Coturnix japonica: one gene and its partners. The protein of the gene in region 1 purifies or fractionates together with the protein of each later gene. This does not show direct contact. Links are inferred from orthologs where the notes say so. Each region holds a gene or a part of one and is shown on either strand. Other genes may lie near its edges.

The links.
Region 2: the proteins of CAV1 (region 1) and TRPC1 purify together in Homo sapiens (affinity purification with western blotting; 3 studies listed by BioGRID and IntAct, with this or other methods). This does not show direct contact. The link is inferred for Coturnix japonica from reciprocal best matches to the Homo sapiens genes CAV1 and TRPC1.
Region 3: the proteins of CAV1 (region 1) and potassium voltage-gated channel subfamily A member 5-like purify together in Homo sapiens (affinity purification with western blotting, with the first as the bait; 3 studies listed by BioGRID). This does not show direct contact. The link is inferred for Coturnix japonica from reciprocal best matches to the Homo sapiens genes CAV1 and KCNA5.

Annotation. Positions count from the first base shown.
Region 1 is NC_029516.1:22,486,348-22,489,847, forward strand, and holds part of CAV1 (caveolin-1), read right to left. Parts: intron 2,084-3,500; coding exon 1,742-2,083; 3' UTR 1-1,741. UniProt on the Homo sapiens protein: May act as a scaffolding protein within caveolar membranes. Forms a stable heterooligomeric complex with CAV2 that targets to lipid rafts and drives caveolae formation. Mediates the recruitment of CAVIN proteins (CAVIN1/2/3/4) to the caveolae.
Region 2 is NC_029524.1:8,921,060-8,925,055, forward strand, and holds the start of TRPC1 (short transient receptor potential channel 1), read left to right. Parts: upstream 1-1,196; 5' UTR 1,197-1,395; coding exon 1,396-1,531; intron 1,532-3,047; coding exon 3,048-3,202; intron 3,203-3,996. UniProt on the Homo sapiens protein: Forms a receptor-activated non-selective calcium permeant cation channel. Forms a heteromeric ion channel with TRPC4 or TRPC5 that has reduced calcium permeability compared to the homomeric TRPC4 or TRPC5 channel.
Region 3 is NC_029516.1:67,515,118-67,519,190, reverse strand, and holds the start of potassium voltage-gated channel subfamily A member 5-like, read right to left. Parts: upstream 2,801-4,073; 5' UTR 2,479-2,800; coding exon 580-2,478; 3' UTR 1-579. UniProt on the Homo sapiens protein: Voltage-gated potassium channel that mediates transmembrane potassium transport in excitable membranes. Forms tetrameric potassium-selective channels through which potassium ions pass in accordance with their electrochemical gradient.

The sequences.
Region 1 (3,500 bases):
GTACAGAAAAAAAAAATCTATAATAGTACACTCTCCATTATGTACATAGAAAAACATAAAACTATATCCATACCAGTGTCTGTTTTTAATGCAAACAATAGTAGTTAATAGCTTTGTAACTTTTTGTGCACCTTTTCCCCTCTTCCCTCCCTCTCTTCCTCCCTCCCGGCCCCATTAAAAAAAATGCAGCATTTCCTAAAGTTTTCAATGCTTTGGCAGAAATGCAACTGAAGGCACTCCCGTGTTAAGCAAAGCAGTAGGTGAAATATCAGCGCTAGATAAAAAAGCTGCAGGTGTACCAGACAGCTCCGTGCTCAATTCCAAGGGCCAAGCCCTGTTCTCTTGGAGGTCAAAGACTGGTTTGCAGTAGATGCCAACCAGAGCAGGCTCAGGCCTCAGGCTGGTTACAATAAAGCAGATCAGCCTCACAACTCTTTTTACAAAAGCTTCATGCAAACCACATGAGGATACGGGCTGTATCTCTCAACACAGTACTATCATGAGGGCAAAAAGCTCCTGTAGGTCACAGCATCAGAAAGCGTCGCAAGGACTTTGCCTTGTAGGCCTTTAACCTTGCTACATAGGCTAGCTTGACACAACACCCTCCATTTAAGACTTCCTGATGTTGCAGCACAGCTAAAAACAGACTAATCCACAATGTGAAGTTTCTAAACCGTCTCTCATGATGGATTAATTTAGATTCAGCAAAGCGTCAGTTCATCTGAAAATAATGTGTGCTCGCGGCATGCTGACTTCTGCTGATAGGAAAGTTTTTTAAAGCTCATTGGAAAGTTTCCTTTAGAGGCAGCCCCTCCTTGGCATTTTGTGGCTTGTGTTTGGCACACCTTCGTGTTTCTTGTAACTCAGGGTTATCTCTGGCATGCTTTTATATGAATACTCTGGAAAAAAAATAAATGAAGCCCACGAGATAAACACCTAAAACAGCTAAAGGATGTGTCATAAGTCACAGTCAGGAAAACGTTTCCATAATGACCAGTTTTAGTTTTCAACTTCACTTTTCTTCTACAATTTAGTGAAGGTTGAGCTACAACTGGCTGCAAACTTCCAAGTAAGAATGAGATACAAAGGCACTAACAGAAGCCTTTTTATGGATGAGCAAAGCTTTCACATGTCAGTGTCTCCAACCTGATGAAATGTTAGTTTTTCAGGACATTCATTAATTAAGTAAATTGTTTACTTATCCAATGTATTCATAGTACATCACACCTGACCATGATTGCAAATCGCTGTAGTCAACTGACTACACAATTGAAAAAGAACATTCTGCTAAAACCTGCCAGCTTGTCATGTTTATTCTGCTGCAGCAGCTCTACACTCTTTGGCCACAATAAAATGAATGGCATTACAGCGTTGGAAAGCTTTTTTGTCATTCTTTGGTAACTCTGTGGATTTATCTTACAAGGAATGAACAGTGAGACAAAAAGGCATCCAACAACATTTCAGACTCTGAATTGAACAGCCAGCAAAATGATATGCAGCTGTCATGGAGGAATAGCTATTTAAGGTTAGTTTGAAATACAGACTGAAAAGAGAAAACACAATAGGCAAGTAGTCCAGTATGAATACATAGTAAAAAAGGATATTGAGCAAGTGATTTTTTGTTTTGGGCCAGTATATCCACCAGTTGCTGTATGTTGCTTTGGGAAACGTGAAACTGGCACCAAAACACCCCAAACAACACAAATCTCCCACCCCTTCTCCAGGCTTTTTGAAATGTCCCTCAAATGTCTTTCTGTACTGTGGCTCGGATGCTGCTGAACACCTTGCCCATAGCCTCAAACAGTGGGTCGCAGAATGTGTGGATGCAGATAGAATAGACACGGCTAATGCACTGGATCTCAATCAGGTAGCTCCTGATGCACGGCACCACCGCCCAGATGTGCAGGAATGACAAGATAGCAAAGTAGATGCCCCAGATGAGTGCCATGGGAATGCCAAAGATTGCTGACAGCAAGCGATAAAACCAGTATTTTGTTACAGTGAAAGTGGTAAAACTGGCCTTCCAAATCCCATCAAAGCTGTGTGTTCCTTCTGGCTCAGCAATCACATCTTCAAAATCAATCTGCAGCAAAGAACACAAAAATCAGGTCAGTCAAACATCCTCATCAAGTGTGGAGCCCAGAAAGCCCCTTCCTCAAAAGCAATGATCGCCTGTAACAAACATTGAAGCTTCTTACATCCCAATATGAATTAACCCATTTTAAAATATCACCTAAGCCATGAGCAAGACTTGTCTTTTTTTTTTTCCCCACTGACTATAGGTGATACTTAATGATTAGCTCAATGATACACATCTAACTTTTAGATGGAGAAGAGCTATCCAAAGAACTGAATATTTTGTCCTCCTCTCCTGCAGCCTTAAGGGTAAGGAATGCCCTTAATTCTACTTAAGACATGAAAAGGTGATAGAAACATTGTATTTTCATTGTCTAGCTTTTCACCATCTCACATCTTTATAAATGGAACAAGTGCAGACACTGCTTTGACATTTAACACATCAATAAAATGTGTTTTATTTGTTTGACTTTTTCCACCTTCCCTTATATAGTATTGCTGAATTTTGACAGTGAACAAATGTTGAGGGCATCTAAATATACTTTGAAATAGGCATAGATAGCTGTTGATTGGCTGAAAAACAAAGTGCTGGATTTAGAACTGCCTAAGATGGAACTTATCTTTATTGTAAAAGAGTGAGGGAGTCTTTCAATTTTATTAAGCGTAAGAAGGCTTTTCACACGAGAGCCATTTTGTTCTAACCTGCTCTGTTTACGTGATAACACTGTTAGTGGAAGACATAGTCAGGATAACGTGTTAATATTTAGAAGGAACACACTCTTCCACATATTTTATAGTTTTGAATATTATTCATAAACTGTTCACAGAGTCATCTAAGGAAGCAGTACATTCCAGCATGCATATTTTACCATTCTCTGTTGAAATATTGAGCTTTTCAGGAAGCCTAATTGTCATAACATTTCTATTAGAAAATTAACAGAATTACTATGATAGTTCAGCTCCATGTCACACAAATGTGTTTGATATAACCCACCATACAGGATATTTAATTTAGGCAGCGCAACAGATTGCATAGGTGCTGCATACAACAGGAAAAAGAACGCCATCAAATTATATCTCTCTAAGAAATGAAATGGTTGTTTAACTTAGATGGAAGAAAAAAAGAAAATGCATTCCTGGGACTGAATCCCAGTGTCCAATGATACTGCTGCCATAAGGGAAGATATGGGCCAGAGGTCTCAGAAAGTCAGGCAACAGGTCCTTAGCACGCTGGAAGGACATGAATGTGAATATACTCAGTGTATCACCTATGCTGTAGGAAAAGGCTCAAAAAAAGCTCGATTAAAATACAGACTGAAGTTGACAAAAAACCTTCTCCCTTTCTCTCATTGAGTCTTCACGTGAATTCAACTGAGTTCTTTGTTAGGGAGCTGTTGGAGAGGGTCCAGAGGAGGGCTACAAAG
Region 2 (3,996 bases), on another chromosome or scaffold:
CTGTGTCCTGAGGAAAAAAGCCTAGTGGGCAGAAATGTGATCATGTTGTTAGATCTGCACATATGTTACCTATTTCAGTTGAACTGCACGTGAGATTTTTTTTTAATTGTAAAATATTGTAAAAGTGAAAAATAAAAGCCTGGCCTGTCCAGAAGGGGTCCTTACAGGTTGTTCCTTTGATTTTTACTGGAGTATATGGCATATATAGAGAGAGGCTTTGTATCATTGTCTGGGTGAGATTTCGTATTGATCTTAAAGCAAATATTTGTACCTTTCTGTGCAGCCATAATTTTACACCAAAGGCTCTGGATTTTTAATTCTTACCAGAAGCTGAACAGTAAGAAAGGAAAAACTAAATACAAATAGATGTTTCTTTTTTAAAGATATGGAGCCACTTTTTCTCTCTCTGCTTCTAGAAACAGTAAGTGTGGCAAGATCCAAGCATGATAATGTGAGCAGTTGTAGCAAGCTTCTGTTATCTTGCATAACATATTAAAAGAAAGAAGTTACATCCATTTGATTTCTGTTATGTAAGGGGATACTCAGTGTCTCAGAGAGCTAAGGGCTTGCATGTGTGTATTTTAGAAAATCAATGGGAATTATGTTTACAATCTGTTCAAGCATATTTTGATAAAATAGAAATGGATTTTCAGGGCACCACAGCTTCTCCATAGCATCCATCCTTATAGCTCACTAAAGCGAATGAGGCTGTGCCAGTGGGGTCAGCTCAGGATGACTGCCAGCAGCTTGAGGGGAAGAATTTGGGGATAAGGCCTCGTGTATCATGACCACCTGCACTAAACCACAGAAACAGGAGCTAGGGCTGCAAGTTATCAACATACAGAATTAGTTGTCTTTAAATGGCAAATATGAAGGCATGTAATTGTAACGTAAAAAGGAAGAATTAATGCCTGTGATGTCTAGAAGTACTCCCCTAAGCGTTAACTGATAAAAACATGTCACTGCTCCGTGTGCGTGCAGGTACAGCGCAGTCAGGCCCTTGACTCTGTGCTCCTGCCTCTGAGGCCCGCGCCATCAGGCTCCAGCCGGGCCTGAAAGCACAGGCTGACCGCGGTCCCCTACAAAAGCCGTTTTGTAGGGGTGACGCTAAACCGCGGAGGCGCACGGCGCTGCGGGAGGACGCGGCGCTGCAGCAGCCACAGCCCTGCGGCGTGCTCCTCCCCGCTACCGCCCGGAGAGGCGAGGCCGCCATTGGATCCTGCGCAGTGCAGCGGGGAGCGGCCGCCCTGCCCTGCCCTGCCCTGCCCTGCCCTGCCCTGCCCTGTGCCGGCAGTGCCGGGTGCTGCCGCCCCGCTCCCCCCGGGGCTGCCGGGGTCCTCCTGCTGCGCGGCCTCGCCCCGCCCGCGCGCTCATGGGCCTGGCGGAGCCGGCGCTATGGCGGCTCTGTACCAGAGCGCGGACCCGTCCGCCTCGGCCTCGCCCAACAAGCTGCTGGCGCTGAAGGATGTACGGCAGGTGAAGGAAGAGACCACGCTTGACGAGAAGCTTTTCCTGCTGGCCTGTGACAAAGGTACGGAGCCCCTTGATGCGGCCTCGGGAACGGGGGGCTCGGCCTCTTGCTCCGAGGCCTGAGCTGTTCTCTGCCCGCAGGCAGCGGCCGCGCTTCGGGCGGGGCAGGGGATGAACGTTCTCCTTGCAGCGGCGTTCTGTGTCGGTGTGCGATGGGTCAGTGTGCCACGGGGTTTGTGTTGTGACACCAGTCAGTTAACGTTTGCTCAGGTCGCTTTTAAAGTTCCTTTCCAATGGGCGACTTACCTGGGCGTCAGTGGAATGCCTCGGGCACTGAATGGCACCTATGGTTGTGGGTGGATTTTTCCTGTCTAAAATCTGATGCTTGCTTAGTTTAAGCACGTGTTTATGTACCTTGTTTAAAGATTGTCTTAAATCAAACGGTTCTTGGCACTTTAAAAGCATTGGACCCCAAGTCAGGTTGTTGATCAGGTGATGAATGGTTCTGTGTTTCTATGTAGCAGTCAATGTGTTGATGTGCAGCCCTGCCCACTGCTGTCTGTTGGGTTGGTGCTGGGCAGCGGTTCAGAGGCAACTGGCGGCCTGTGAAGCTGGGGTGCTCAATGGGAGGTCAGTGCCTTGCTGTCAGATGGACACACTGCCCACAGCCCTGCTGCTGGTGGAGCCTGTCCTGGAGACTAGAGCCAGGCAGCACGCTCTCAAAGTGTAAACAGGCTCAGAGAGCTAAAGGATGCACGATAAAACAGCAACGAAAAGATCTTTAAAATAATAAAAGAAAAACAACCATTCTGATGTGTCTAACTGCGGGTTTAGTACTGTTACAGGCTGTATCTGAATGTTCTGTGAGGGTTGTACAGCAAGATCTGTCTTCGTCATGGTCCTCTGTGCCGTGAAATAGCTTGTTAGAGGCAAAAATAAAACTTCCTTGGCAGCAAGCAGTTAAACAAAATAATACGTAATGTCAGTACTGCTGCGTCTGTATTTCAGGCAAGTTGGAAAGTGCAGATGTCTACACAATACGGTTAGTTTTACTTGCTCATCAAACTTGTTAGCTTGATTTTTGTAACACTGCAGCATCACATCACCCTGACTTTCGTGATTGGTACGTTAAAGATGGAAATAAATAGGAAATGCCAACATGGCTTGTACTCAAGAGAAGCAGGTGTGTATGTGGTGCTGTATAGAGGGCTGCTCCGATGCTGCGGTTCTTCTGCACCAAGTAGCCTTCTTTGATGGAGCTGATGTTTCCAGCATCTCAGAGGTTATATATGCGGTGCTGCCTCAGTTTTGAAAAGTACCTGTGCTTTTGTGTGTTATATGTGCTTGTTTTCAAGACTGGAATTAAGGGAGGCATTAAATGTCTTAGTGCTTCCCTGAAGGAGAACTCTTAGTATGTCTTCAGTTTTCCATCTGGAGGGAGAATTCTTATCTCTCTTCTTAGATGCCTGACGTACTCGCTGTATTGTCAGTTGTGATGGACTGTAGCTGGTACTTCAACATGTTAACGTGCTTTTACAATAAGAACGCTGAGATATATTCATACATTGTTCATGCAGGTGATTATTACATGGTTAAGAAACTCTTAGAAGAAAACAGCTCTGGTGAGATGAACATAAATTGTGTGGATGTGCTTGGAAGAAATGCTGTTACCATAACGATTGAAAATGAAAATTTGGACATACTACAGCTTCTTCTGGATTATGGGTGCCAGGTATACAACACATTGATTATTGGAAACTTGGAGAGTAGTCATTGGTTTCTGTTGTCTATTTTGTTTGTATTTTTTTCTGTTGACGTGTCGGAATTTGGCAGAAATTCCAGTTCTTTATAGGCACTTCAGCCTTTTTTTCCAGGTAGTAATTGTGAAAATTGCTTTAAATAGGAGGACGTAAATGTGTTTTGTCACAGATGATTTCAGGATAAGGCAAGCGTGCGTTTCCACGATGCCTTCTTGTAAAACCTGGTCTGTGCTGAGGCACGGGGCAGAGGCAGTTTCATATCAATGGTACTTGCTTGACTCTTGTGTTCTTGTAAGTGTGCTCAGCTACTGCCAGGAGTTGTAGCTATGAGGGTGTTACGAACAGGCAAAAAAATAATCTTTCTTGAAGTTGTTTATTACTAGACAGAAAAAGAAAACAGGCAGCCTTCCCCTCCCTGGATCTCTGTTTTAGTGGCAATATCACAATCTGTTTGAGTTTTCTGAAGTGAATTTAAAAGGGTGCTATCAGCTGTATGGAAAGTGGAAAGCTGTTCAGCTTAACTTCGGGGAAGTCTCCGGGGTAGTCATGAGCCCAGGAAAAAAGTTCACATTTCCAGCTTTATGACAGAGCTGTGAAGGCAGGGCTGAAGTATCTGATGTGTCTGAGTTGTGTTACAGACACTTGGTTGTTACATTTTTATTAAGCTTTTACACCCTTGCTTATAATCTGTCTCTTAAAACCTGATTTTTTTTTTTTTAGTATCCTATGTCATCTTTGCTGACAAGTTTTACAATTGGTTCTGATG
Region 3 (4,073 bases), about 45 Mb from region 1:
CAAGTGGAAAACTCTAGAAGTGCTGATCTGCCAGTATTCCTAGTGCTTTAATGGAGTGGAATGTCTCAGTAATAGGAAATCCCATTTCATCGATAAATATATTGATGTAGACACAAAATAAATTAGAATATTTTCAGTTTGAAACTGAAAACTCTCATTGTTCTCTCACACTCCAAAACTCACTCATTCTCTGCACATGTCCCCCAGCTCTTTAATAATCTGCAGAAAATGTATTGATTACAAATGACCATTTCAAACCAACCATCATTTGCTAATAAAAGTTTCTAAAAATTAGATTTTGTATTTTCATAATTTACCAGCTCCTGCATCACGGAGAATAGTTTACTGAATCTATTTTAAAAACAGGTGACCATTTGTGTCATGGAAAAAGAACATAAAAACATTTATTCCCGGAGGACTGCTCAGGACAGTGATCAAATTACAAAATATAGTCTGATTTAAAAACCTAACAAACAAACAAACCAAAAAAACAACAAAATTGGTAGGAAAATAATATAGTAGTAAGTTTCTGACACCAGCAAATTCTGCTGCATCTCTAACTACAATTCTCTCCTTTCCTCACAGGTCTGTTTCCCTGCTGCTATCCAGACAGAGGGCATATAGTGATTTTCTGAGATCTACGTTACTTTTAGCTTTGATATTGGTTTTCTTTAAAGGGCTGGCACTGCTTTTGAACTCTTCATTATTTTCCAAGTGCACAACAGATTTGTCCAGAGAGCTTTTACTGCATCTTCTCTTTCCATCTACCCCAGTTACACTGTCCTGAGCACTACTGTGTTCTTCTTTGAGCATAGCTTGCTCTTCATGGTCAGTCTCTCGGTGGTAGAAGTAGTTGAAGTTGGACACAATAACAGGGACAGGCAGGGCAATGGTGAGCACACCAGCAATGGCACACAAGGACCCCACGATCTTGCCCCCCACAGAAACAGGTCGCATGTCCCCATAGCCCACAGTGGTCATGGTCACCACAGCCCACCAGAAAGCATCAGGGATGCTGGAGAAATGAGACTCAGGGTCATCAGCCTCAGCAAAGTAGACAGCGCTGGAGAAGAGGATGACGCCGATGAAGAGGAAGAAGATGAGCAAACCCAGCTCCCGCATGCTGGCCTTGAGGGTCTGCCCCAGGATCTGCAGCCCCTTGGAGTGCCGGGACAGCTTGAAGATCCGGAAGACCCGCACCAAGCGGATGACTCGGAGGATGGCCAAGGACATGGCTTGTTGCTGGCCTCCACTCCCATTGCTGCTGCTACCTCCAGGCTGCTGTTGTTCATTGGCCAATTCTGTGCCCAGCGTGATGAAGTAGGGGATAATGGCCACGATGTCAATGATGTTCATGATGTTGCGGGAGAACTCTGGCTTGCTGGGGCAGGTGAAGAAACGCACAAGGAGCTCAAAGGTGAACCAGATGACACAAGTGGTCTCAATGATGAAGAATGGGTCAGAGAGGCTACTCAGTGACTGCATGGGTGAGGAGTCTCCAGCTGTGGCATTCAAACCTCCACTTTGCGGGGGCAAGAACATGGGTATCTCTCGTTCATCCCTGAATTCAGGCAGAGTCTCCAGGCAGAAGATGATGATGGAGATAAGGATGACCAAGACGGAGACAATGGCGATGGCCCGGGCTGAGCTGGAACTCTCAGGGTACTCAAAGATGAGCCAGACCTGGCGCTGAAACTCGTTGTGGGGAAGGGGCTTGTCCTCTTCTCTGATGAAACCCTCATCCTCCCGGAAGCGCTCCATGGCCTCCTTCCCCAGCTGGTAGAAGCGGATCTCATCAGCAAAGACATCAATGGAGACATTGATAGGCCGGCGGAGCTTGCCCCCAGACTGGTAATAGTACAGGATGCCATCAAAGCTGGGCCGGTTCCTATCAAAGAAGTATTCATTTCTGAGAGGGTCAAAGTATCTGCCTCGCTTTGCTGGATCACCCAACAGTGTGTCAGGAAACTGGTTGAGGGTGCCCAGCTGAGTCTCAAAGTGCAGCCCAGAGATATTGATTAGCACCCTCTGATGATGCATTGCACCCCGGCTCGCTGCCTTCATCTCCTCCTCCTCGCTGCCTGCTGCCATGGCCATGCCCCGGCGGTGACCCCCTTCCTCCGGGGGATCCATTTCCGAAGCCGGCCCGGGGCACGGTGCGTTTGGTTGCGGTTGGGGTCCCGACGCCGCCCGGCCGCTGATGCCGCCCTCGCTGCTGCTGCGGCGCCTCCCGCCGCCTCCTGGAGGGGCAAGCGGGGGCCCCTCCCGCTCCTCTTCGACCTGCGGCGGCGGTGATGCCGGTGGGGTTCCCTCCTTGCCGTCGCTCAGTCTCGGAACAGACGGGGATCCCGCGGTGTGGCGTAGATCGCGCCGTCTCCGAGCCCTGCTGCTACCGCCGGCGTTACCGGCCGTGGCATCCTCGCCGGCCGGGATGGCCCCGCCACCGCCGTTCTCCAGAGTCACCAGCGCGATCTCCATGGGCAGCGGCAGCAGGCGGGCTCCGCTGAGGTGGCGGGCATTCTATGCACGACGCCTCGCTGCCGCCATCCACCTCCGGATGGGTGGGCGGCGGCCCTGCCCTGCCCTGCCCTGCCCTGCCCGCCTATCCCTCAGTGCTCGGCGGCCGAGCGCGGCCTGGGGAAGCCGTTCGGGGACCCGGATATGAACGAGCGATCATTCTGATGATTTGACGTCAGCGAGGATCCCTTCTCCCCAGCGGTGGCGGCGCCAGCTTCCCCCGGCATCGGGCTGCCGCAGCAGCGCCCCGCCCCGCAGGTGGGACCGACAGCATCCGTGCTCCAGCCCAGCCACTCCGTGCCCAAGCGGAGGGAATCACGGTGTTACCCCGAGCGGGTACGCATCCCTTGAGCAGGGGAAGTCTCCGGCTGGAATTGTCTCAAATGAAATCCAGAGCGCCTCTTGGTGCCTGCTGAATCCTCCTGCCTTCACAGCTTAATGAGAACAAAGAAAGGGATGGGATCTGTTTTGCTTTGCTCCCATCCTTTCCCCGCCCTTAACATGTAGTTCCAAAAGGTGCTTCTGAGGCCAGCAGATAGCAAACGTTACACTGGATTACCCGAATGTTAGCATTTATAATTTGGGACCATACTTTGCCTTCAATGATTTCTTAAACCCACATCCAAGGCTGACACACTTCAAAATATATGCATTTTATTAAAGAAAATGAATTGAAGTAGCTTTATATGATGACTTTGGTTACACTTCAGTAATATGATCGATGCTGTGGTCTTATTTCCTGGGTTCAAACTGTGAACTTCAAGGTCTAGAAGACAACATATTCTAAATATATACATAAACAACACAGGATTAAAACCTATACATATACATATATATATATATGCACAACATCAGTTGTAAAAGATGATACTAAATGGAAAAAACATTTTGCCTTCTAGGTGGCATCACTGCAGTGATATTTGAATCCTTGCAGTAGTAATGATATTCATCAAATGTAGAATAACTGGGATTAATGAGTTTTCACTTAATTTAAACCATTACCTCTGTTTATGAAATATGCCTAAAGATATTATAAGCCATGCCAAAACAGAAAACCATAATTATATTGAATGATTATTATAAATGATGATTTGTCTGTGATCTAAAAGTTGCCTCTGAGAGCTAAGCATGGAATCACTGACCTGCTCTGCCATTGAGAACTTACTCACACAAGTAATTCCTAGAAACAAAATTACAGTATATTTTCTAGAGCTGCTCTGAGATCCTGATGAGGAAAATGCACATTGCTAACTGACACAGTTGGAAAGCACAGCTATGTTCTCTGGGCACCTTCTTTGCAGCTCCAACATTTCTGAGAACTTAGGATGTTATCTGTGTATGTGGGTACAAGGGAAGAGGGGAGGAAAGGGTGGGAAGAAAAATCTATTCCAAAAGCAAATTTTAAAGGGCAATTCTTATTTAGCATTCCAAATTTTCTGAGTATTGTGAAATGAGAAGAGCAGACCATCTAGTAGGAAGCAAAGATATTGGAGAGAAAGTATGACATGCAGACATAACAAGTGAGATGTATGACTCATGTTTTAACCTGATGCTCT